Macaca fascicularis: one gene and its partners. The protein of the gene in region 2 interacts with the protein of the main gene of each other region in a pairwise test. Links are inferred from orthologs where the notes say so. Each region holds a gene or a part of one and is shown on either strand. Other genes may lie near its edges.

Region 1 (3,222 bases), on a different chromosome or scaffold from region 2:
AACTTTTATTTTGGCCGGGCGCGGTGGCTCACGCCTGTAATCCCAGCACTTTGGGAGGCCAAGGCGGGCGGATCACCTGAGGTCAGCAATTCAAGACCAGCGTGGTCAACATGGTGAAACCCCATCTCTACTAACAATACAAAAATTAGTGGGGCGTGGTGGTGTGCGCCTGTAATCCCAGCTGCTCAGGAGGCTGAGGCAGGAGAACCACATGAACCTGGGAGGCAAAGGCTGCAGTGAGCCAAGATTGCACCATTGCACTCCAGCGGGGCAACAAGAGTGAAATTCCGTCTCAAAAAAAAAAAAAAAATTTATTTTACAACATAACTAGAAGTAGTACTACTTGCTATTTGTTTTCCACATAAAAAGTCGGAAGATCTGACCTCACAGAAAATTCTCTAATGGACTGAGGCAAGAGGAAGGTCTGAGGGCAGTCGGCAGCCCACCTTTTGGGGCAGTTTTGTTCTTGTCCCCGAGCAGAACCTGGCATTCCTGCCCAACATTCCTGTCTAGCTCCTCTCTATACCCACCCGGCTACCACCCTCCTCGATACCACCATGCCCACAGTGGGCCTGGGGTGCAGTGGGGCCTGTGGGTAGATATTAAAGCTACAGCTTCTGTTTACTGTTTTGGGCTAATCAAAGAGCTATGGAGCACACAGGTGCTAGTTGGTGGGCCTGCCCTAAATTCTAGACATTAAATATGAGCAAAGTCATGTCCATTTAAAACTCAAGCAAGAAGTAAAGTCACTTATTCATCCAACAACCATTTACTGAACTCCTAAAATACACAAAGCATCAGGAAGGACTCAAGATACATAAGAAATGGTGTCTTCTCTAAAACACTTACAATCTAACAGATAACAGATTTCCAAACATCTGAAAACCAAAAAGCGACCTACATTTTTTCTCTCGGGGGACCAGGGGCAGTGATCTTCAGCCTCTGTGGCAAGGATGGGCAGCATTGGGCCATAGGCCTCACACTGCTGTCAGTCCATGCACCCAAGGGCAGGTGAGTAACGCAAGAAAAAATAATTTGTTGGCTGGGAGCTGAAGCAGGATCTCACAAGGACCCTGAGTGGCAGGTAAGATCACCCCACAGAAAGGGGATGAAATGGCTAGTTCAGGTGTGGAAGTAAGAACCGGCTGCCAGGTGGGGACAGTGAGAATGGCAGGGTACTTATGCACACAGAAACGGTGATACTGGTCTAGAAATGCCTGAGAGTCAGGCTGGAAACAAGAGTCAAAAACAACTCTCAAGTTTCCATTCAATATGAAATCATTTTTAAACACACCAAAGTCTTCTCCGTTCTTTAGAAGAGCAGAAGAACTGACTTACCTTCACGATATCCAATCCTCCCACCAGCTCCCCTTTCACATACAGCTGAGGGTACGTTGGCCAATTTGAGTAGGCTTTTAATCCTTGCCGAACCTAAAGAAACAAGAGTCCGGAAACCATCCTGTCAGGCCCTTATGATTAAAGCTAAGACAAAGGTGAAACATCAGACACAGAACTTACTTCTTCATCCTCCAATATATCGAATGTTTCATATTCAACACTGGAAGAAAGAGAAGACATTTTAACTGGAAATACAGTTAAATCAAATTGTAAAACCTCTATGCATTTGATGTTTTTAAAATAATCAAGAAAACTATTTTGTTGCTAACAAAATGTACTACAGACCAATGGAAATGATTTTACTTCTTAATCTGTCTGGTACTACACAGAATTAGTCATTCCAAGATACGACTTTATCTAGATTTTTCTCCAGACAATATTGGGTTAGACCAGGGATGGGGAAACGTCTTCTTAAAGAGTGAGACAGTAAACACTTCAGGCTTTAGAGGCCAGTCTCTGTTTTAACTGCTCAGTTCTGCTGGGCAGCACAAAAGCAGCCACAGACAACATATAAATGAAGGGATGTGGCTATGTGCCAATATAAATTTATTTACAAAAATGGGCAGCCACCTGCAACTTGCCAACCCCTGGGTCAGACCCACATCCCCATCTGCACAAGCCTTCATTAACTGAACACTCTCATCCACTTCTAATATCTAATCCACCCCCAGCTGCTGCTTCTTAACCTCCTGGAAGCTGCCCGTGGAGCAGGAAGTAGTAGTGCTTGTGGACGGAGGCTGGAGGGCTCAGCAGCCAGATGACAACCACGCTGCCAGTTCCCTCCACCTTAGCAGGAGACATGCTTTCCACACTTAAACTTATTTCAGAGAGGGCGCTGTTTTTAATGTACAAAAGGCCAATGAAAGCTTTGTGGCTTTATGCCGTACAATGAACATTACTCGTACAAAGAAAAATCACTGCATGAATGTCCAACTGTATCTACTCAGAGTGATTTCACCGTTAGGTGGTCAGGTATTAGCAAGCATGTATGCCTAAATCCTTGCAGGGTGCCTGAGGGTACAGGTGCAATTCCCAAAGGTGGTCAAAGAAAATGCTACATGTAAAAAAAAACTAGACTTTCCATAAAACTGAAACCATCACAGGGAAATCTTGTTTATTTAGTAAACAAGTTCCCAAGGAAACTGTCTATGGTGCAGGGAACAGTAAAAAAAAAAAACAAAAAACTAAATGACAGGATAAATCAGAAGCAATTACCAAAAAAGGAATGTTTGAAAGAAGAGCAAAAAAGGACCCCAATGTAAACCTAATGTTTTTTTAAAAACCCAATGTAAGTCTTTGTTCAAGCTGAACTAACTAAAGGTGGCAGATCTCTTAATACTGTGATAAAAACAATGAGTTATAAAACTATTCATAAAGGATCCAGGAAGCACTGGGCCCAAGTGTATGTATGTGGCGTCCTAACAGTCAATACACTTCCTAAGAGTTATTCATAAAGGGTACCTTTCAAACCTCAATATACACTTGGTTCTCAGCCACTCATGCATGTGTATTTTGGCTACTAAAGGAAAAGATAAGAAATGAGAAAAAGTAAAAAGGAGTTTTCTCCACATACTTTGACTCCAAACAAGAGCATGGTCTGTTCACGTTAAAAGAAGCTGAGGTCCTGGATGGCCTCACTCATCCTAGAGCCAATCATGCTTAGCAAGTCCAGAGCTGGGAGTCATTCTCTCCCAAAGTAGCCTCCTGCTCTCTGCGACAACAGGGTGCTTTCAATACAATGGAGATCAGACAGATATGGGACAGAAAGCCAAGTTACCAAGATGTTCTACCACAGACATGAGCTGGGTCAGGCCCAGTGTGTCG
Region 2 (3,500 bases):
AGAGGAAAGGGGAGGAGTCTAGAATGATTTCCAGGTAAGTTGAAAATCCTAATGGAGTCAATGTTTTATTTTAATCTTAAAAAATTGTTTAACTTTTGTGTGGTATTTTTGTACTGATTCATTTGAAATATTAGTTAATAGCTTGCTAAATATCCTTGGTTGAGATCATTTGATTTTCAAAATGTTTTGATCCTTTCAATACTTATTTCCAATAAGTATACTTTATTTTCTAACTCTGGTCCTTTTGATTTTGTTCTAAATTCACTTTCGGCGTTACTTTTATGATTTACTAACTCTTTAACTTAATATACCTGCATGATGAATATATTTCAGAAATTTGAACGAAAATAGTATTCTTTCCATATATTAAAGTTAGTTCGCTTAAAACCTATATAAACATTTTAGGTTAAAACTTTAATGTTCATAATTTAAAATAACAATATACTTGTTTTAGGTGTGTCTCTTAGATATTGTAGTTATTTTAAACTTAATAATTACTTTCTGCTAATGCATACTATTTGTTTAGGCCCATGACATGGTTAACTGACTATGTAGACTTCTTAATTTAAAAAGAAATGGCAAAACAGACAAAATGCTGCTAAAGAAATTTGCAAAGGTCTCAGAGAGGGAAGAATAGAAAAGAAAAAGAATAGCAGTATTCATCTCTACCTGACTGCTCCCCCCACCTTCCATTTTCAAATTCCAAGTATTTAGTTGAATACTTGCTGAATTTTTTTCAGTATTTTTATTGGACTTGTTTAAAAAAAAACACAAAACTTAGGTTTGCTGCACTTAATGAGTTTTCTTTCTTTTCTTTCTTCTTTTTTTTTTCCTTTTTAATATGTAAAAGCACATATCAGAGCTAATTTTTCCCACGTGAAATGGGCCTTTCCAGTGCTTATTTATATTTACAGGACGGTTTAATACAGCAGTGTGGTGAGACAATGAAGGAAACAATTAATGTGAAAACTGTATGTGGCTATTACACATCAGCAGGGACCTATGGATTAGATTCTGTAAAGAAAAAGTGAGTTACCTTTCTCATTTTTCTTCCTATCCCACTTTAGGAATTTGGTTGCTTTAGTTTCTTAAGAGAATGTATAGCTATAAGAAGGAAAGAATTAAGGAAAATTAGGATAGGGGAATGGAATTTTGTTAAATAAAAAGCCCATTTTAACTTTTGGACTAATTAGTAAATTCCTCAAAAGTATTGCCTTTGTCAGTGACCATATGGGTTATATATATGCTTATAAAAACCTTGGTCACTCTTGGTCAGGTGTAGTAGCTAACACCTGTAATCCCAGTGATTTGGGAGGCCAAGGCAGAAGGATCACTTAAGCCCAGGAGATCATGACCAGCCTGAGCAACATAGGGAGACCCCATCTCTACAAAAAATTTAAAAAATTAGCCAGGCATGGTGGCATGCACCTGTGGTCCCAGCCATTCTGGAGGCTGAGGTCAGAGGATTCTTTGAGCCCAGGAGGTTCAAGACTGCAGTGAGCTGTGATCATGCCACTGCACTTTATAGTATATTTTCTATTAAAATTGTTTAAGAAGTAGGCCTGATAGACATTATATCATTGCAATGACTGACAGTCCTTCTAACTCTTGAAAGTTGCAGTACCTGTTTTGAGATTTTAAAGGTTATAGTACTATGCAGACCCCTTGATAAACTATTTAACACAAACTCAAAATGAAGTTTTAAAACTAGAAATGCTCTCATTAATATAAAGGAAATATTCTCTTAATAATATCCACTGACAAAAATAATACTAAATTTCCTATTGTTAAGTTAAAAGTTTTGAGCATGTTCTGGCAAGATTAATATTCTGATTTTAACTATAAGTCCTACTTAATAAATTGTAAATACATGGTATATAATATAATAATTATATGTTTTAATTTCAGGTGCCTTGAATGGCTTCTAAACAATTTGATGACTCACCAGAATGTTGAACTTTTTAAAGAACTCAGGTATTTGAATTTCAAGTAACTTTATAATTAGTCATCCTAAAATATTGTTTATCATTTGTTAAAGTACGTAACATTTTTGTAGAACACAAAAATATGAAAAAGCAAACAATTTAATGAAAGGGCTTGACTACATCCATAAGCTGAAGAAATGCTACACAAACTTATTTCTTTGTTGTGAATAATATAATGGATATTATGTCTACCGTTTTAACCAATTTTAATAGAAAAATGCATTACTGTTATAAGACTATAGAAAAGTTTCAGGTTTTGCCAGACTTTTAGAGAATTTAAAAGGTATATTTTAAAAATCATCTTTATTATTGAGAAATAAGTTTGAAGAAACTGTTTTGGCCTTTTTTTTTTTTTTTAACCTTCAAAAACTTTTCATGTTGATCGGTTTTCTCACTAGAATGAATTCTCTGATGTGGCGTAACAAATGTGTGGCTCCTATAAATGTACATTTTTCCGTCTCTGATTATTTCACTCCTTGAATTCAAATCTGTAATCCCAGCTACTCTGGAGGCTGAGGCAGGAGGATTGCTTGAGCCATGGAGGTCAAGGTTGCAGTGAGCTGTGATTGCGACACTGCACTCCAGCCTCAGTGTGAGTGAGACCCCATTGAGACCAAGTTACCATAGTTCTTCACTGTCACCTCCTGGTACAAGGTCTTCTGAACCAGGTCAAGGTATTCCCACTCCTGATGAGAGAAGTCTATGGCCATGTCCCTGAATGTTACGAATTCGCAGGCCATGGTTTTAGACAATCAAAAGCCAATCAGTCCTCAGGGTTTCTCTACCAGAAAAGCAGATTTAGGAAAACCTAGACCTGTAATCCCAGCACTTTGGGAGGCCAAGTTGGGAGGATTGCTTGAATCTAGGAGTTCGAGATCATCCTGGGCAAGATAGTGACGTCCCCTCTCTTTGAGAAAATAGCAGTCTTCCTTTAAAAAAAACTGTTAGCACCACACAGGGTCCCATGCAGGCTTCAGGCTGGGGCTGCAGAGGCTCCCACAGTCAACTGCACTGCCTTCATCTTCAAGCGGGACCCGGTCGCACACAGCACAGCACAGAGCCAGAGGTCCTGGAGATGGAGCCAGAGGGCCAAGATTTCTCTGTCACCTGTGGACCATGTAGTCCAAGCTGGAATAATAGGACCGCAGTCACCCATGAGAAATGGATTCCAGGGTTCTAAAAACCTACAAGATATATGGCGGTGACAATGAGGACTGCCCACCACCCAAGCTATATAGCAGTCTTTCTTTATTAAAGAGATGGGGGCCTTGCTATGTTGCCCAGGCTAGACTCAAACTCCTGGGCTCAAGCAGTCCTCCCACCTCAGCCTCCAAGTAGCAGGGATTATAGGCACATACCACTGCACCCAGCTTAGTTTGGCTTTTTGGATTAAGTACGCATATTATCCATTTATTCCTGCAGCAAGTACTTCCTAACTGTTCATTATGTAAAGATACTCTGTTTGTGGCTGTGAAGGATGCAGAGATGATTTTGTCATGGTCTCTTGCTGTCAGG
Region 3 (4,047 bases), on a different chromosome or scaffold from region 2:
AGTAGAAGTCAGACTCGCTGGAGAAGAGTTCAATAAACAGCAAAGATCATGTTTTTGTTTTCAAAACAAGGTCTGGCTTTGTTGCCCAAGCTGGAGTGCAGTATCGTGAGCTTGGCTCACTGCAACCTCGCCTTTCCCTCTCGAGCCATCCTCCCACTTTAGCCTGCTGAGTAGCTGGGACTACAGGCTCACACCACCACACTCGGCTAGACTATTATCTTTGTATTTTTTGTAGAGATGGGGTTTCACCATGTTGCCCAGGCTGATTTCAAACTCCTGGGCCCAAGCAATCCGCCTGCCTAAGTCTCTTAAAGTGCTGGGATTATAGGCATGAGCCACCACACCTGGCCAGCAACCAAGATTTAAGGCAGGAGTAGTGTTGGAGAGTGACAGTAAGTCAGGAGCTAAAACAGGAGGTCAGTAGATGATAGTAACAATGGAGATTGATTAGTATATAAGTTCCTGTATTAACTTGAAAATATACATCCAGGAGCAAACAGTAAGGTAAATTGTAGTCCTGCCTCATTGCTCTTAACAAGGGCTGCTCCAGTTGATACTCAGAACTGCAGTATAATAAGAGATTCTATTTCTTTGCATGTTTCTCAACACTTGGTATTATCTTTATAACTCTAGTCAATTTGATTATCTCATTATCTTACAGTGTTTTTCTTATTAATAATACTGATCATCTTGTTAGCCATTCAGTTATCCCCTCCTTGTGAATGCTGATTCATATCATTTGCCCATTTGTAAGTTTGTGTTGACCTTTTACATACTGATTTGTAGGAGCTCTGTATATATTAGAGAACTGAGAAATTTGGGTTGAGGCCGGGCGCGGTGGCTCATGCCTGTAATCCCAGCACTATGGGAGGCCAAGGCGGGCGGATCACAAGGTCAGGAGATCGAGACCATACTGGCTAACATGGTGAAACCTCGTCTCTACAAAAATACAAAAAAAATTAGCTGGGCGTGGTGGCAGGTGCCTGTAGTCCCAGCTACTCGGGAGGCTGAGGCAGGAGAATGGTGTGAACCCGGGAGGTAGAGCTTTCAGTGAGCTGAGATGGCGCCACTGCACTCCAGCCTGGGTGACAGAGCAAGACTCTGTCTCAAAAAAAAAAAAAAAAAAAGAAAGAAATTTGGGTTGAAGTTTGCTTTTTTTTTTTTTTTTTTTTTTTTTTTTTTTTTGCTTATGGTGATTTTTACTATGTTTGAACGTTTTTTAAGAGAGTCTTGCTCTGTCACCTAGGCTGGAGTACAGTGGCATGATCTCAGCTCACTACAAACTCTGCTTCCCAGGTTCAAGTGATTCTCCTGCCTCAGCCTCCCAAGTAGCTGGAACTACAGGTAAGCGCCACCACACCCGGCTAATTTTTTGTACTTTTAGTAGAGATAGGGTTTCGCCATGTTGGCCAGGCTGATCTCGAACTCCTGACCTCAAGTAATCCACCTGCCTTGGCCTCCCAAAGTGCTGGGATTACAGGTATCAGCCACCGCACCTGGCCAAACTTTAATTTTTGTACTATAATATGTGCATAAAACTTATAGATTCATTTTAGGGTAACTGGCATCTTAATAGTATGTATTATAAGTCTTTGTTCAAGTCTTTTAAGTTATTTATTTCAGGCCGGGCGCGGTGGCTCAAGCCTGTAATCCCAGCACTTTGGAAGGCCGAGACGGGTGGATCACGAGGTCAGGAGATCGAGACCATCCTGGCGAACACCGTGAAACCCCGTCTCTACTAAAAAATACAAAAAACTAGCCGGGCGAGGTGGCGGGCGCCTGTAGTCCCAGCTACTCGGGAGGCTGAGGCAGGAGAATGGCGTAAACCTGGGAGGCGGAGCTTGCAGTGAGCTGAGATCCGGCCACTGCACTCCAGCCCGGGCTACAGAGCGAGACTCCGCCTCAAAAAAAAAAAAAAAAAAAAGTTATTTATTTCAGAGCTGAGATGGGAGGATTGCTTGAGCTGGGAGGTGGAGATTGCAGTGAGCCAATGTCACACCACTGCACTCCAGCATGGGCAACCAAGCAAGACCGCGTCTCAAAAAAAAAAACCCTATGTTTATATCTTTTGCTACTTTTTCCTTTTTTGAGTACTATGTTGAATATTAGCAACCTAATAGGCATCCTCTCTAATTAAGCTCTCCGATAAGTATGTCATTTCCCAAACAAAAGCCTAGATTCATCTGTAATATAATGACACTCATAGTGACAGTGAGGGGGCAAAAATAGTTTTTGTCCTGAACAATCAGTTAATGGTGGTGCCACTTGCTGAGACAAAGAATACAGGAAGGCTAGGCATGGTGGTTCACGCCTGTAATCCCATTTTGGGAGCCTGAACAGGAGGATTGCTTGAGCCCAGGGGTTCAAGACCAGCCCAGGCAACAACATAGTGAGACCCTCATCTATACAAAAAATACAAAAATTAGGCCGGGCGCGGTGGCTCATACCTATAATCCCAGCACTTTGAGAGGCTGAGGCTGGTGGATCATGAGGTCAGGAGTTAGACACCAGCGTGGCCAATATGGTGAAAGCTCTACTAAAAATACAAAAATTACCCGGGCGTGGTGGCAGGCACCTGTAATCTCAGCTACTCGGGAGGCTGAGGCAGGAGAATCACTTGAATCCGGGAGGCGGAGGTTGCAGTGAGCCAAGATCACGCCACTACACTCCAGCCTGGGTGACAGAGCAAGACTCCATCTGGAAAAAAAAAAAAATTGCAAAAATTAATGGGGCGTAGTGGCATGCACCTGTAGTTCCAGCTACTTGGGAGGCTGAGGTGGGAGAATCTCTTGAGCACACCACTGCACTCCAGCCTATGCAACACAGCAAGACCCTGTCTCAGAAAAAAACAAGAATACAGGAGGAAGAGCAACAAGATGGAATTCAGTTTTAGAAGCCGTCTGAAGTGCCTGTGGGCTACCCAAGTAAAGATATCCAGTAAGTAGTTCTCCTTAAGGGCTAGCACAGAATGCTAGGCTAGAGGTGAAGATTTGAGAGCTCTACATTTTTTTTATAGATGTTAACTGAAGCCACGGGCATGCAGGAGATCAATTCAGGGACAGTATATGTAGAGTGAGAAGAAAAGAATGCAGAGGGGAATGAGAAGGTCAGAGAGGTAAAGGGAAAACCAGTAGAAGTACAATGTGATGTTAACTCCCCAGGCAAGGCCCACAATACCTTCTCCCAGAGAAGCCTTAATGCCTAGGATCCTAGGGTCACAAAGGGATATCCTAGGATGTTTTGACTCTCTCTTTCTTTTTGCCAGTTGCCAGGTATAAACTCCGAATTGTTAAGCCACCAAAATTACCCCTAGAGAAAAAACCCAACCCTGATAAGGATGGTAAGTATTGAGTTCTCTGACCTGTTTCTGTGACCTGGGCTGGAGACCAAGGGCACCCAAAGCCAGTGGGCTGCGGCACACAATCTCCTTTTGTTCTGCACAGGTCCAGATTATGAACCCAACCTCTGGATGTGGGTAAACCCCAACATCGTGTATCCCCCTGGAAAACTGGAGGTCCCAGGACCTAGGAAGAGGGAGGATCTGACAAGCACACTTCCCTTGTCTCAGCCACCACAGAAGGAGGAAGATGCCAGCTGCTCAGAAGCCACAGGGGTGGAATCACTGTCCCGGTCCTCCAGCAAGTGGTCTCCCCCTCGGAAGCGCTTTGCCTTTTCCCCCAGCACCTGGGAGGTATGGATCTCTGGGGGTGGGAGCCGGACTTGGGCAGTAGGTGAGGGGCATGGGGAAGAGCCATCACAATTCTGCTCTCTTAGCCATAGCAAAAGGCGAATGGGTTCAGAAATTACCTTCATGCTTGGGTTGGGGAGAAGCCCAGATGGTGGCCTTAGACCACCCCCCCTTCCTGCCACTGCACCCTGGAGTAGAGGCTGAGGAGTCAGGACCAGTTCCTACTCTGTGCTCCTCTAGCTCACAGAAGAGGAGGAGGCTGAGGACCAGGAAGACAGCTCCTCTGTGGCTCTCCCATCCCCTCACAAAAGGGCCCCCCTCCAGAGTCGGAGGCTTCGGCAAGCCAGCAGCCAGGCGGG
Region 4 (3,066 bases), on a different chromosome or scaffold from region 2:
TGCTAGTATGTTATCTAGGTCAGTATGTTATGTCCAGATATTTAAAATATGTCAATATATCTGTATGTATATATTATTTTAAAAATTAAAAACAGTCATTAATCTCAGGACTGGAATAGATCTTGTGAGATTATCTGATTCAAAATGGTATCATATGTGTTTATAGACATGGCAAGTGAGACTCACAGAAAAATATGCTTGCTCGTGGTACTTTTGTGAATTTTAAAAAATTGTCATGAGATTGCTTGAAGACCTTAGGGATTTCATGTGCTCTGTCATATTCAGAATTGATCCATTCCATCAATTGATTTTTAACTATACAGGAAAATCCTTCCTAAAATTTGATTGGGCCCTATTTTAATTACCCACGTTAAAATCACATGGAGATCTCAGTCACATGGAGATCCCAGATTCATAGGATTTGGCAGTTTCAAACCAGATTTCTTCTACAGCTTTCTGACCCATGTCAAACATTTGCTGTAAGTGTTTCCACCCAGTTTTTGCAGTAACCATGAAATAATCTTTGTTCTCTGGGTATAGCTGGCAAGAGTATGCAGCCATGACAAGTGACTGGCAAAAACGACTGCATACAAGTAAAAACAAAGCACCCTTCTCTACAGCTGTCAGTGGGGTGATGCTTTCAAACCCTGCAAGGACATGGCCTCCTACTTGTATAGGATTTTTGCTTTCAATCATCATGTACATGATGGTAATTGCCAGTTCAAACACATAGTAGCCATAGCTCATGTCATCAAAGTCTAAAATCCCAGACACTTGATATTCAGCATTTCCAGAGGCTGACTTGCTGGACTCTATTAAAATATTATGGTCATTAAGATCTCCATGATTGATACCTGAAAATAGAAAAATCACATAAAAATAGTTATTGAATATTCCAATTTATTCCCCTTCCATTTCTCTTTCATAGGCAAAGCCATTCAGATAATTTGATGAGCAGTCAGAGATAAAGGGCCAAGCCCTATTTTTCTTGAAGTAAAATAATTTCATCTGAAAATAATAAAAGCAGTTAATTTGGGGTGGTTGTTTTGCTTTTCATCAATACAAGGCCAGAAGATGGAGACTGCAGTCACTACAAATACCTGATTTTGGCTATTAAAAGAGTAAAGTGAAAAGAACTACTCAAACCCAGAAATGTTTAAAAAGAATAGAAACATATTCATATTGTTAGAAGAAACAAAGAGTCCTAGAATGAACCAGATTTACCTTTATTTTCATCTAGGATTTTATTTTATTTTTATTCTTTGAGATAGAGTCTCACTGTGTTGCCCAGCTGGAGTACCCTGGCACAATCTTGGCTCACTGCAACCTCCATCTCCTGGGTTCAAGCAGTTCTCCTGCCTCAGCCTCCTGAGTAGCTGGATTACAGGCGTGTGCCACCACACCCAGCTAATTTTTATATTTTTAGTAGAGACAGGGTTTCACCATGTTGGCCAGGCTGCTCTCGAACTCCTGACCTCAAATGATCTACCCGCCTCAGCCTTCCAAAGTGCTGGGATTACAGGCCTGAGCAACCATGACTGGCCTCACCTAGGATTTTAAACAAAATTTTCTGATAATGTGGTAATTCTAAATTTCCCATTTTTTGATTACTGAAATAGGTGGTGATATATATATATATATATATTTTTTTTTTTTTTTTTTTTTTTTTTTGAGACGGAGTCTCTCTGTCTCCCAGGCTGGAGTGCAGTGGCGCGATCTCGGCTCACTGCAAGCTCCGGGTTCACGCCATTCTCCTGCCTCAGCCTCCCAAGTAGCTGGGACTACAGGCGCCTGCCACCATGCCCAGCTAATTTTTTGTATTTTTAGTAGAGACGGGGTTTCACTGTGTTAGCCAGGATGGTCTCGATCTCCTGACCTCGTGATCTGCCCGCCTCGGCCTCCCAAAGTGCTGGGATTATAGGCGTGAGCCACCACGCCTGGCCTGGTGGTGATATTTTAAGTCAGTACTACTCAAAGTGGGGTCTGTGGCCAGTACTGGTCTACAAAATGTTACTAGTCTGCAAGAGATAAGAACAGAGTTGAGAGTGTTTAGAAAATTTTACAGTCATATGACATCCAAGAGTGTGATCAGTGGCCTTGTCTCATTGAACGGAGCGTATAGGAGTTAAAGTTTTGTCAAACTCCCGTGGTTAGTTGCATGTGACACGAACTGTAAGCGAATCTTGCATAGTAGGACCATATGCCAGACTGTAATGGGTTGGGGGAAAAAACCCACACTTGTCTTTTACCATAGATAGTCTAAGAAGCACGGATTTAAGCCACTGACTAAAGATTAGTAAGAGATGTCAATGAAGCCCTGAAGCACATACATGATATAAAGTATATAATTTTAACTTTTAATTATAATGCTGACTTTTTCTATATGATTTAGGATTGTGTAAATCATGCTTAAGCAATGTAACATAGTGAGTGGGCACACAGAAACAATATTATTGTAAATCATGGATTTTAAAGTATGTATTTCTGAAATTGGGATATATTATATAATTGACTCAAAAATATATAAGATAAAATTTGACTGGGCGTGGTGGCTCATGCCTGTAATCCCTTTGGCCACTTTGGGAGGCCAACGAGGTGGATTGCTTGAGTCTAGGAGTTCCAGACCAGCCTGTACAACATGGTGAAACCCTGTTTCTATTAAAAATACAAAATTTAGCCAGCGTGATGGTGGGCGTCTGTAGTCCCAGCTATTCGGGAGGCTGAGGCAAGAGAATCACTTGAACCCGGGAGGCAGAGATTGCAGTGAGCCCTGCACTGCAGTCTGGGCAACAGAGCAAGACTCTATCTCAAAAAAAATTTATATACATATATATATATGGCAAAATTTGACAGAAATACAAGCAAAGAATAGGCAATCTTCAATCATAGTAGATTAAAATATACTTTAACATGTACTTTACTCAATAATTGTTAAAAAAAAAAAAAAAAGCAGACCAAAATGTAAGTGAAAGTTACAGAAAATTTAAAAATTATTAATAAACTTGACATAATGGGCATATATAACTTCATACCCAACACTGCAGAATACACTTTCTTTTAAAGCAC
Region 5 (3,500 bases), on a different chromosome or scaffold from region 2:
TATTTGTTTTGGAGAAAAGAGTACCATCACATTAAAGGTAAAGTCATTTAAACAAACCAAAGAAATCCATTTTTTCAACCAGTGTCTGAGGATCACTGACATATGAGAACTAAGAAGTGTTCACAACTATAGAAAAATAATTATTTTGCTGATGCAGAGACTATCAGTGGGAAGTTTCTGTTTACTTTACTTGGGATTTTTGAAAATAAAACTTTTCTACTGATAAAAGTACCAGAACACAAGAGCAAATAACCAGGGGTTTTGAAACTAAAAGTTAAAGCAAAGTAATCCCTGCTCAATTTCTGTCCTTTTTCAACTAAGTTACATGCCTCCCAAACAATCCATAAATAATCTATCAAAGGAATCAAAGATAATGTTGAAGTATTACCTGTGGCACTTAAGAAGCTGCTAGAAAATTTGATCTTTCAGAGAATGCTGGTGAGAATAAGCACATTCTAGAGGAGGTCTCAAGTTGTAAGACTTGATGATTTTAAATACACAAATACAAGAATAAAAAATGGTAAATTTTTTCAAGTATACCTAAACACTCATCTTTTCAAGATTTAATATGAAGCATTTTTTGTCAAAGAAAACATTTTCTCCATTTACAGTATCTTTAAAAGATGAGTGAAAACCAAAAGTATTTTCAGATATATTAAGTAGCCTTAGCACACTCAATTAATAGTCATCTTGGAGTCAGACACAAACGTCAAGAGTCACCCTAGAAATTTTCAGAATCATGACAACAAAAAAATTGGTACACAGAAAATTCTAACTCTAATACCATCCTAGTGCCATAATGTTGAGTGAAAAAAGCAGGTTAAATAGTATATACATTAGGACCCAAGGTAAATACACACAATATAGACACATGTGCACACTGAAAGAAGACTGGAAATAGATACATCGCTACGTAACAACGGTTATTTCTCATGACTAAAATTACAGGAAATCTTAATTATTTCCTTCGTTTGTATATTTTCCTTTACAATATAAATGATTTGTGTAATTCAAAAAAGGAAAGTTATGCTCAGATCAAAAATAACCTTTAGAGCGAGGACAATTATAAACAGCTGCAGCACCACACTAACTAGAAAGGCTGTTTTTTTGGTTTCCAGCCTTTTTAAATACACAATCAATGGTATAGGTGAAAAGGAAGTTTACAACATCAAATATGGTTTAAGAAGAAATACAATAAAGTCTATATTATTTTTTAAAAGATTAAGAAATAATTTACAAAAAGATATACTTTTATAACATGATCCATTTAAATAGCAAAAAAAGATATAATTCAGGTTTTAAAAAATCTGACTTACATATAATTTTTCAGAAATCCACATACTCTATGAATTGAGGGACACTTGCAGGTAAATACTAAGATTTCTTTATTTTGTAAAATGCCATATTTTGCATCTGCTGACTTCTGGCTGAGAGAAAGAATATAAATGGGTATGGTAGTTTACCCCCTGGCCAATGTGAAGTGTCATGTGACAGAGCACTTCTCTGGCCTAAAAGAGATGAGGGCTCAGAGTAGCCTTCCTCCCTACTCTCAGCTTTACTCCCTTAAACTTCCCTACTCTGCTATTTTGCAGAGACTAATCCCAAGAGAAAACTGAAAAAGACCGACTAAGCAATGTATGATTGCATGTGGGTACCCACCACCACCACCCCACACACGCAACCCTGCCGGGGGCATCCCCTGAATAACTAATCACCACCAGTTCTACTCTAGACAAGAAAGACTGATGCTTTAATGCAGTTTACTCAGCACAGTCATCTATGGCAACACGCACACATACAAGCACTTACATTCTTCTCTCCTTCCGTGACACGGGTTTCATAGCAATATGCCAAAAGGATATCAATCAAACTGTAGTACACTTGACGACAGGCTTTCTTGTCCAGCAGATAAGATTTATTGACAAATTTTCGTAGCTGATATTTCTCTTCTTCAGAAAAAGACACTAGAAGAAAACGCATTTAAAAATTAGATGTTTCATTCATTTTTGTAAATCCCCCAATGTGGAAGATTTGTCAAAATTAGAACTTTGATTATAGAAACTGAAATAAAAGTTATTTCTACTTAACTCTGGATATATAAATAACTTAAGTAGACGTCACAGTTTTAGTAAGAGCTGTGAGTCTGCTCAAATCCTAATAGGGCTGAATAAAGATTTTTTGAAATAATACCTAATCCTTAATTCCCAACCCTCCCTTTTTTGCTACACTGTTCTGTACTTAAGGTGTCTGAATGCCAGTTACTGACTTTAAAATTAAGATAACACATTTTGACAACAGAAAGCGCTAAAGTACACTGAAAATACTCATTATCCATTTGAAAGTTCTATACCAAGAAATAGGAATATTCCCAGATATTAATCAATTAAAATTGTTACATTTAAACTAAACTAAATTTCAATTCAAATTAATCCATTAAAATCTCATATTGTCTACCATATAAATCAAGTTTTACATATGACCACATCACATACATTAGACTTGTGGGACGAGACTGTTTCTTTACAACACGGTTCCTTTTTCCTTTTCTTCTTTTGCTTGGCACCCTCTCTCCACCTGAATATTCGTCAACAGCCTCTCACCCACTAAAAATCTAGTATATACCATTCCATAGTTTTCTCTACAGACATGTAATCATATACAGACACACAAGCATACATACTAGGGAGTTTGTACTTCCTACGCCCTCCCTTGACCCAAATAACTAGGTCATTTTTCTCCATCTAGCCCTTCTCACTCAACAATACCTCTGGCAAATCCCTAAAAGTCAACTGGTGTGTAACTAATTTTTGTAAAGGAGTATAATATTCCAAAACGTACCATGCTCTATCCAACCACTCCCCCTACTGATGGGCACTGACGTTGCTTCTAGCTTTCTGCCACTGCTAATAATGCTGCAATAAATATCCTTATCCTATGTCCTTGGATATTAGAGGCTTTATTTCCATAAAGTAGACTCTCAAGACTGGATTGACTGGGTTAAAAAAGTATCTGTTTTAGAAAGATACTTTACTTAAAGGCTACAATAACTCTCCTTTCTCACAGTCATGAATAGAAGTTCCTCTTCCTACACATACCTCCCACCTTCCCCTGGCAAGAAATGTAATAGCTTTTTTACAATCATTTCCAGGTTAATAAATTGAGTAGAGCAGGCAGAATTCCAAGATGACCTCCAATGAGTCATATCACTATGTGGGGATGGAGCTTGTGACTTGCATCTATCCAACAGAATATAGCCAGGCAATGGGACAGTCATTTCCATGATTACATTCCATTATTAGCAGACCAAAGCCAGGGACTCACCTGCTAGTTTTGAAGAAATGTCACACGGTGAAGTGAGAGAGCCTGTGAGAAGGCTATATGGCAGGGACCTGTAGGGGCCTCTAAGATCGAAGAGTGGCCCCCAGCTGACAGCCAGCAACAAAGTAGGGGCCTCAGTTCTGTATCTGCGAGGAACTAAATTCTGCCAACAATCATGTGAG
Region 6 (4,200 bases), on a different chromosome or scaffold from region 2:
CACCTGCAAGACAGCAGGAACTCAATAAAAATGGGGTGAACTGATCTGCTGGCTTGACTGGTCAGTGTTTACCTGAGCAAGAAGATGTCATTTGACTCACCCCAGCGCCCCACTGCCTCTCAGGCACTAACCTTGTTCTTACGTCCATCAATCTCAAAGAAGGAGATGGTGCCCTTGCGGTAAATCTCATTGCCTGGAGGATGTCGTAGGTCGCACTTGGTCTGGAGAAGAGAGGACAGTCAGGAACAAGGGCAACGTGGAGAGTGCTGGGAAGGCAGCTTCCCTGGACCCCTCATACCAAGTGACGCTGAAGACACTTGAGGCTACGGCCGTACTTGAGGCAGAACTCGCACAGGTAGAGAACAGGCAATGTGGTGAGCTCCTGTGGGTACGGGGAGAAGTACCACGGCTTGAGGCGGTGCCGGCCCAGCTCAATGCACTCGATGTTCTTCATCCGGGTGACGATGTCGTCGTGGCTTCGGTCAGACACCAGGCTGCCAGTCATGCGTGGTGCTGATGGTATTCCATCTGAGCTGTCCTGGGAGTCCTGCCCAGGGCCAGTGGAAAATACCAGGTTAGAAGAGACAGCTCAGCAGGACACCACAGCTCACAGCCCTTTGACAGGTTTCCTGCAAGCCTAACGGCAACCCTATGGGGGAGGTACCATGATCCCCAATTTCTGGATAAAAAACCTGAAACCCTAAGGGATTGATGATGTGGAAAAGATCACTGAATGACCCTTGTTTTTGAGATGGAGTCTCACTCCGTTGCCCAGGCTGGAGTACAGTGGCATGATCTTGGCTCACTGCAACCTCTACCTCCGGGGTTCAAGCAATTCTCCTGCCTCAGCTTTCTGAGTAGCTGGGATTATAGGTGCCTGCCACTACGCCTGGCTAATTGTTGTATTTTTATTAGAGACAAGGTTTCACCATGTTCGTCAGGCTGGTCTCGAACTCCTGACCTCAGGTGATCTGCCCGCCTTGGTTGGCCTCCCAAAGTGCTGGGATTACAGGTATGAGCCATGGCACCCAGCCCCAATGACTCATTTGAACCATGTTCTGCCTGGCTCCTAATCCCACCAACACTAGCCCCGCCTACCACCCCTTCTTTATTTTTAAACTCATCACTAACTCTCCATCCTGCTTGCATCCCTTCCTTTTCACCCAGCTCCTTCTGTTGCTCCCCAGACCCACCTCATCAGTGCCCAAACAATTCGATTTTCGCTTCCGTCCTGGCTGGGCTGCCACTGCCCTACGGGCTGCTCCATTCTGCAGATATAGTAGTAAAAGAAGGGATGGCTGTGAGATGAGCCTGAAAAAGGCCACCAGAGAGTAGAAGAGAGAAAGGGAACAAGAAATGGTTTGGGAAACTCACCTGGGGAAAAACCGAGGCCGGGGCTGTCTCGCTGGGCACTGGAGTTGCTGGTGAAACCACCTCCACCTTCCGTTTCTGCAGAGAGAAACCAACAAAGGTGGGTCAGAAGGTAGAGAAGGTGGGACCTGAGAAGAAAGCAAGGTCCCTGGAATTGCTGAGGGTACCGTTGAGCGGTGGTTGGGCTGCAGGCAGGAGCTGGAGGAGAGCGGCTGGTCAGGCTCGCCACCGGGAATGGCCTCCCGCTCCTTGGGCAGGTTGAAGCGGAGTGTGATCTGGACCGGGATTGGCAAGGTCTTCCCGCTTGCCTGGGCCGAGGCCGGCTGTAGAGATAGGTCCAGGGTCTTCCTCTGGGGCGGGGATGGCAGTGGAATGGGGAAGGGGAACAGGGGTCCCTCAGCTCAAAATTATCAAACCCCACCCTCGCCTTCTGAAGGACACAGGACTAGCTACTGGACTCTGGGAGCTACATGTGCAATTCGGCCCCCATCCTTTGCAAGATGAAGTCAGGGTGAGAGGGAGCCGCCTACTGCCCATCCAGGAGCCCCTAATGCCAACAGATAAGAGAAACACGAGGCAGGAGAGAAGAGGTGAAGTGGGGGACCTACTCACCACCTCTCTCTCTGGAGAGCCGGGACGGGACCCAGGAAGTCCGTTCTTGGTGGGGGTCTTGGCCTCTTTCTTCGGGAACTGGATCTTCTTTAGGTCCAGCCGCTCGTGCGTCACCCATTCATCCAGACGTTTGTTGACTGCAGCAGTGGGGATGGCTCAGGACAGAATGCCAAAGACTGTTCCCCAACCCTACCCTGATGCCCCACCTCAGGCCCAGAACTCACAGTCAATGTAATGGACGTAGAAAAGCTTCCGGCCACTGATGTCCTTCACGCTCAGGATCTCGGCCAGGGCTATGGGAATAGCATAGGCAGGGGCCTTAGACGGGCCGGGCCAGGCTGAGACTCCACCCTTCCACGACCTGAACTCCACCCCAAGGCCGGATCCCTAAGCTCCAGCACTTAGAAGGTCTCTCCTAAGCCTCCTTCAGTCACTACTGGCACCGCTTTCCAGGCCCCGCCCTGTACCTCTCGGAGCAGCTAAGAGCCACGCCCCTTCATGGGAGTATCTGCGCCCCGCCCGCCCCATAATTCCAGAGGCCCCTCCCCATCCCGGGGGTTCAGTTGACTCCCTCCCGCCCCTCGCCCTCAGGTTCCTTAGCCCCGCCCCCCAACGTCACTCACGCCACTCATCTTCGTTGTCCTGGTTCCGCCGCAGCACGGGTAGGCGGCAGCCCTCGATTATCTCCCCCTGGGGAGACAGCGCGGCGCCAGGGTCGGCTACTGGGGGGCCTCGGGCTCTACCCACCTCCCCTGGCTCCCTCCGCCCCGCCCCGGGCACCGGACTCACCACCTCCGCCATCTTCCCTCCCTCCACTGCCACTTCCGGCCCCTGTGGGAGACGTCACTTCCGGGACCGAGCCCGCTGTAGGCCCGGGCCTCACGAAGCCCCTGTAGAGGGGGACCTTTGAGAGTCACCGCGACCCAGTTGCAAGGGGCAAGACTGCCCCTGTGACTCCTGGGAAAACGAAGTGTTACAAGCCTCAGGCCGAGTCCTAGGTGGAAACCCCACAACGTGCACAGCGATTGGAGAACTACTGAGTCTGTCACGTGACGCCCACCGGGTGCGACGCTGTTCACGTGGATGCGGAGCGGGTCACGTGGCAATACCGTTTGGGCTTTGACGGAGGGCAGTCCTCGGGCGTCTCCTTGTGGCGGCGGGAGGTGTTGTCGGGAGTGAACTGCGCGCGAGAGGCTGGAGAAAGGAACTGGGCTTAGAGGGGCTCGAACGCTCCCCCAGGTCTGTGGACTTCATTCCGTAGGCAGGAGGACTCAGGGAAGATTTCTAGCTTTATTTCGTGTATTAGGCTTCTTTTATTTTTGAGACGGAGTCTCGCTCTGTCGCCAGGCTGGAGTGCAGTGGCGCCATCTCGGCTCCCTGCAACCTCCGCCTCCCGGGTTCAAGCGATATTCCTGTCTCAGCCTCCAGAGTACCCAGCTAATATTTGTATTTTCAATAGAGGCGGAGTTTCACCATGTTGGCCAGGATGGTCTGGATCTCTTGACCTCGTGATCCGCCCGCCTCGGCCTCCCAAAGTGCTGGGATTACAGGCGTGAGCCAGGGCGCCCAGCCATATTAGGCTTTTTTTTTGAAACAAGGTCTGTGTCGCCCAGGCTGGAGTGCAGCGGGGGAGGCATAATCTCCGCTCACTGCAGCCTCCGCCTCCCTGGATCAAGTGATCCACCTCAGGCTCCTGAGTAGCTGGGACTACAGGCGCGCACTACCAAGGCTGGCTAATTTTTAAAAATTTTTGCGTAAACAGGATTTGGAGACTGGGCATGGTGGCTCACACCTGAAATCCCAGCTACCTCCAGCCTAATCATGAGAAAAAGATCAGACAAATACCAATTGAGAAACATTCTACAAAATACCCCATGAATACTCCTCAGAACTGTGAAGATGTCACTGGTGGAGGGTGTCCAGATTCTTGGCATCTTAAAGAATTGGACAAAACGGCTGGGCCCGGTGGCTCACGCCTGTAATCCCAGCACTTTGAGAGGCCGAGGCGGGCGGATCACGAAGTCAGGAGATTGAGATCATCCTGGCCAACACGGTGAAACCCCGTCTCTACAAAAAAAAAAAAAAAAAAGATACAAAAAATTAGCCGGGCGTTTTGGCGGGCATCTGTGGTCCCAGCTACTCGGGAGGCTGAGGCAGGAGAATGGCCTGAACCTGGGAGGCGGAGTGTGCAGTGAGCCGAGATCATGTCACTACACT
Region 7 (4,108 bases), on a different chromosome or scaffold from region 2:
ATTCTTATAGCCATTCATTTTCTAATTGTTTGAATACAAGTTTATGGTTGAAAATTTAGAAATAGATTATAAAATCCACCTGTACACTCACCACATGGAAATAAAAACTAGTGACATTTTATTTTACAAACCAAAAATTTAAATGAATGCTGTTCATGTAGTTTGTGTGAATTCTTGTCACTTAACATTGTATCATTGGGGCTGGGCACGGTGGCTCAAGCCTGTAATCCCAGCACTTTGGGAGGCCGAAACGGGTGGATCACAAGGTCAGGAGATCAAGACCATCCTGGCTAACACAGTGAAACCCCGTCTGTACTAAAAAATACAAAAAACTAGCTGGGCGAGGTGGCGGGCGCCTGTAGTCCCAGCTACTCGGAAGGTTGAGGCAGGAGAATGGCGTGAACCCGGGAGGCGGAGCTTGCAGTGAGCTGAGATCCGGCCACCGCACTCCAGCCTGGGCGACAGAGCGAGACTCCGTCTCAAAAAAAAAAAAAAAAAAACATTGTATGGTAGTAGTTCCCCAGGTGATATATAGAAACCGTGTCGCATTTCATTATACGAATGTATCACTACACATTCAGTAACTTTCTCGCTGTTGAAACTTTGGGTTGTTTTCAGTTATTTTAAAAGTTTGTATTTATAATTTTTGGTTAAAATCCTTATATAGATGTGTGTCTACATGTTTGTTTATTTCTTTGGGGCAGTCTATGAAAAAGAATTAATGCGTCAAAGATAAAAACGTTCTCCCCACTCTGGGATGTGAAGCTCGGTTTGGTTTGAGGGGCTTGGCACCTTTAAGGACTTACTTTCGCCAGACATACATCTACCTGCTTTACGGTGACCCTGTGAAATCGATGCTAAGATTATGCCCATTTTACAGATGTGCAAACTGAGACATAGGGAGGCCAGTGTTACACAGTAAGCAGGAGAGCCTGTACGATTCCAGCCACGCTGAGTCTGGAGTGGTCGGTCCCAAGCAGGGTACATTTGCTCCTCAGGGACGTTGCTAATATCTGGAGACATTTTTGATGGTCTCAGCTGGAGAGGGTATGTAGTGGGCAGATGCCGGGGATGCTGCCAAGCACCCTACAATGCACAGGACGGCCCCCACAACCAGGGATCACCTGGTTAAACATGACAAGGGTGCCGGGGGTGAGAGACCCTGGTCTGGAACCCCATTTTTCACCAGAGTCCCCCAGTACCTCTCCCATTTTTTTTTTACATTAGTCCTATGGGATGCAGGGCAAAGGTAACAGCAGGAAACTCATCTGAGCAGATCCCATTCCCTCCCCTCTGACCTGCTCTCGGTGGTTGTGAGATGAGAGTTGTATTGGGAGAGGATTTGAGACATTATTTTCATTTGAAAGCTTATAGGATATTTATGACAGTCTTTCCTTACCTGCCTTCCCCCACAAAACCAGCTTCTTCAGATACACAATCTAAGTAAGAAAAGTCTGCTTACTTTGAAAACACAGCTTCAAGATAATCTCCCAATTTTTTTTTTTTTTTTTTTTTGAGACAGGGTCTCACTCTGCTGCCCAGGCTGGAGTGCAGTGGTGTGATCACTGCTCACTGCATTCTTGATTTTCTGGGTTCAAGTGATCCTTCCACCTCAGCAACCCCCTATCCACCCAGTAGCTGGGACTACAGGTGTGCACCATCACGCCCAGCTAATTTTTGATTTTTTTAGAGACAGGATCTCACTATGTTGCCCACGCTGGTCTCAAACTCTTGGGCTCAAACAAGACACTTGCCTTAGCCTCCCAAAGTGCTGGGATTACAGGTATGAGCCACTGCGCCTGGCCTAGTCACCCTAATATTTATCACAAACTCCCTCACCCTCTTCCTTTTTTTTTTTTTTTTTTTTTTTTGAGACGGAGTCTTGCTCTGTCGCCCAGACTGGAGTGCAGTGGCGCGATCTCCACTCACTGCAAGCTCCGCCTCCCCGGGTTCCCGCCATTCTCCTGCCTCAGCCTCCTGAGTAGCTGGGACTACAGGCGCCCGCCACCACGCCTGGCTAATTTTTTGTATTTTTAGTAGAGACAGGATTTCACCGTGTTAGCCAGGACGGTCTCGATCTCCTGACCTCGTGATCCGCCCGTCTCGGCCTCCTAAGGTGCTGGGATTACAGGCGTGAGCCACCGCGCCCAGCTGAAATCACCTGCTTTCTAACTGCCAGATCACCTCTGCTTAAGCCCTTGGATCCCCAGCAGTGGAGGGGCAAATGCAGCTTGGCTAGTCACATCACATGCTTTATCACGTTTTGATTTAACCCTCAAATGGCTGTAAGGGACAGAAACCTACCGGGTTTAACATAGGAGAAATTGATCCTCAGACTCTCCCCATGCTCTGGCTGGCATTTGAACCCCGCTGCTTGGACAGCAGCTCTTTCTCCTGAGTCAGGTGCCTAAAGCTAACCCCTTGGGGGCTTTGTCCTTCAGGGACTAGAGCAGCAGCCCCCTTCTCCCCCAACTTCTGCCTGCCATCTCACCTTCTCTCCACGGAGCTCTCCTTTGTGGCCTCGGGTCCCGAGGGAGAGGAAGATCCTGAACCTCTGTCCTTGACTCTCCGAGGCCCCCGGTCCTGCAGGAGGCTGTGAGCGTCTGGGCTGGAGAAAGACTGTAGGGTGGCTTTTGAACAGGAATTGATTGCAAAACTGGTTTCTGTTAAGTGCTGCAGGAATAAAAAAAGCGAAACTCTCGGGCTCTTCCAGGAAATCATGGGCTCCAGCTGTGCACTTTCATTTTCCTTTTTGCCTGTTTCTCTAACTGCATGCACAACAAGATGAAAGAGCAGAATCAAAGTCAGAAGGCCTGAGTCTCTCGTCTCTGTCCTGGCTGTGTTATAGGATGGACCTATATGGGGTATGAAAATAGCTCCTGTGGCTTAGAGCTATGGTGAGGAGCCCATGAGCAAGCGATGGGGCACCTGATGAATAGTGGATTCACAGTAGCGATCATCACTGATTGTTCTGAAACTGCTTCCCTCCACAGCATCTTGATGTGGATAACAGCCCTATGAGGTGCACGGCCGGCATTTAAGGGCTAATAACTCTGAAATGCAGAATCCTCTGAAAATGGAAACTTTTTTATTTTATTTTTTATTTTATTTTTGAGATGAAGTCTTGCTCTGTTGCCCAGGCTGGAGTGCAATGGCACGATCTCGGCTCACTGCAACCTCCGCCTCCTGGGTTCAAGCTATTCCCCTGTCTCAGCCTCCCCAGTAGCTGAGATTACCTGCGCCTGCCACCACGCCTGGCTAATTTTTGTATTTTTAGTAGAGATGGGGTTTTATGTTGGCCAGGCTGGTCTCAAACTCCTGACCTCAAGTGATCCACCCACCTCAGCCTCCCAAAGTGCTGGGATTATAGGTGTGAGCCACTGCACCCGGCCTGAAAACAAAAACTTAAAAAAAATAAATAATTTATTCATTTAGTGGCAAAACCTGACCTGATCTGGCATGAATTCACTTATGGTTTTTATGTCTCTTGCTTAATTTGAATATTCACTGTCACTGCAAAAATATTAATGTGTTTGACTGAGGAGGGCTGCTGGGGGTGGGTGGGTTACATAGTACGTGATACCTGAACCCCATTACTTTTCTAAAAATTAATTGGGAACTCTGACATGCATATGGCCTCAAGGATTGGAGATACAGGATGTGATACTCTGTCTCCCACTTTAAGGAAGAGGAAACTCAGGCTTCTAGAAGTTAGTGATTACACAGCTAAGAACCAGTCCTAGGCGCTGTGTCTGCAAGAATGAGCCCACAGTGTGGTTACCGGCTGAGATCTGTGTCTCTCTAGCATTTCTGTCAAGTTGTGATCAGAAGTCACGTGGTTTGCAGAAATCCCCAGTCACCACCCCTAGCTGAGGCCACACTGGGTGCTGTTGCTTTGCAGAAGGCGTGGCCCACCTAGCCAGTCCTGCCTTTGCGACGATGGAGGCCACCTCCTCTCCCTTGGCCCTACGAGCAAGAATGAGGGGTTAAGCGCTGCTGAGTTGGGTCCTGTAGGGGCCTTTCCAACCCTGGCATCCCAGATTCCACAAGCCAGCCCTGCTGTGGCCTCCCACACTTGGAGAACACTCTAAACACAGCCTGACCTTGA

What was found.
Region 1: the proteins of GMCL1 (region 2) and GLRX3 interact in a two-hybrid assay, tested with the Homo sapiens proteins (2 studies listed by BioGRID and IntAct). The two-hybrid records come from large-scale screens. The link is inferred for Macaca fascicularis from reciprocal best matches to the Homo sapiens genes GMCL1 and GLRX3.
Region 3: the proteins of GMCL1 (region 2) and FOXR1 interact in binary tests that used the Homo sapiens proteins (3 or more experiments, as listed by UniProt). The two-hybrid records come from large-scale screens. The link is inferred for Macaca fascicularis from reciprocal best matches to the Homo sapiens genes GMCL1 and FOXR1.
Region 4: the proteins of GMCL1 (region 2) and HYKK interact in a two-hybrid assay, tested with the Homo sapiens proteins (2 studies listed by BioGRID). The two-hybrid records come from large-scale screens. The link is inferred for Macaca fascicularis from reciprocal best matches to the Homo sapiens genes GMCL1 and HYKK.
Region 5: the proteins of GMCL1 (region 2) and SHQ1 interact in binary tests that used the Homo sapiens proteins (3 or more experiments, as listed by UniProt). The two-hybrid records come from large-scale screens. The link is inferred for Macaca fascicularis from reciprocal best matches to the Homo sapiens genes GMCL1 and SHQ1.
Region 6: the proteins of GMCL1 (region 2) and KAT5 interact in binary tests that used the Homo sapiens proteins (3 or more experiments, as listed by UniProt). The two-hybrid records come from large-scale screens. The link is inferred for Macaca fascicularis from reciprocal best matches to the Homo sapiens genes GMCL1 and KAT5.
Region 7: the proteins of GMCL1 (region 2) and APOL6 interact in binary tests that used the Homo sapiens proteins (3 or more experiments, as listed by UniProt). The two-hybrid records come from large-scale screens. The link is inferred for Macaca fascicularis from reciprocal best matches to the Homo sapiens genes GMCL1 and APOL6.

The regions. Positions count from the first base shown.
Region 1 is NC_088383.1:139,143,082-139,146,303, reverse strand, and holds part of GLRX3 (glutaredoxin-3), read right to left. Parts: intron 1,559-3,222; coding exon 1,519-1,558; intron 1,432-1,518; coding exon 1,339-1,431; intron 1-1,338. UniProt on the Homo sapiens protein: Together with BOLA2, acts as a cytosolic iron-sulfur (Fe-S) cluster assembly factor that facilitates [2Fe-2S] cluster insertion into a subset of cytosolic proteins.
Region 2 is NC_088387.1:52,099,680-52,103,179, reverse strand, and holds part of GMCL1 (germ cell-less protein-like 1), read left to right. Parts: intron 1-850; exon of another isoform or gene 851-881; coding exon of another isoform or gene 882-914; coding exon 915-1,027; intron 1,028-1,908; coding exon 1,909-1,974; intron 1,975-3,500. UniProt on the Homo sapiens protein: Possible function in spermatogenesis. Enhances the degradation of MDM2 and increases the amount of p53 probably by modulating the nucleocytoplasmic transport.
Region 3 is NC_088388.1:117,848,819-117,852,865, forward strand, and holds the start of FOXR1 (forkhead box protein R1), read left to right. Parts: upstream 1-1,247; 5' UTR 1,248-1,262; coding exon 1,263-1,344; intron 1,345-2,753; exon of another isoform or gene 2,754-2,876; coding exon of another isoform or gene 2,877-2,937; intron 2,938-3,265; coding exon 3,266-3,340; intron 3,341-3,443; coding exon 3,444-3,691; intron 3,692-3,928; coding exon 3,929-4,047. UniProt on the Homo sapiens protein: Transcription factor which acts as both an activator and a repressor.
Region 4 is NC_088381.1:55,894,907-55,897,972, reverse strand, and holds part of HYKK (hydroxylysine kinase), read right to left. Parts: intron 855-3,066; coding exon 394-854; 3' UTR 1-393.
Region 5 is NC_088376.1:135,847,341-135,850,840, forward strand, and holds part of SHQ1 (protein SHQ1 homolog), read right to left. Parts: intron 1,965-3,500; coding exon 1,810-1,964; intron 1-1,809. UniProt on the Homo sapiens protein: Required for the quantitative accumulation of H/ACA ribonucleoproteins (RNPs), including telomerase, probably through the stabilization of DKC1, from the time of its synthesis until its association with NOP10, NHP2, and NAF1 at the nascent H/ACA RNA.
Region 6 is NC_088388.1:8,657,189-8,661,388, forward strand, and holds the start of KAT5 (histone acetyltransferase KAT5), read right to left. Parts: upstream 2,801-4,200; 5' UTR 2,785-2,800; coding exon 2,607-2,784; intron 2,277-2,606; coding exon 2,208-2,276; intron 2,121-2,207; coding exon 1,984-2,120; intron 1,722-1,983; coding exon 1,539-1,721; intron 1,450-1,538; coding exon 1,375-1,449; intron 1,269-1,374; coding exon 1,194-1,268; intron 548-1,193; coding exon 299-547; intron 222-298; coding exon 132-221; intron 45-131; exon of another isoform or gene 1-44. UniProt on the Homo sapiens protein: Catalytic subunit of the NuA4 histone acetyltransferase complex, a multiprotein complex involved in transcriptional activation of select genes principally by acetylation of nucleosomal histones H2A and H4.
Region 7 is NC_088384.1:16,023,175-16,027,282, forward strand, and holds the start of APOL6 (apolipoprotein L6), read right to left. Parts: upstream 2,801-4,108; 5' UTR 2,722-2,800; coding exon 2,492-2,721; intron 1-2,491. UniProt on the Homo sapiens protein: May affect the movement of lipids in the cytoplasm or allow the binding of lipids to organelles.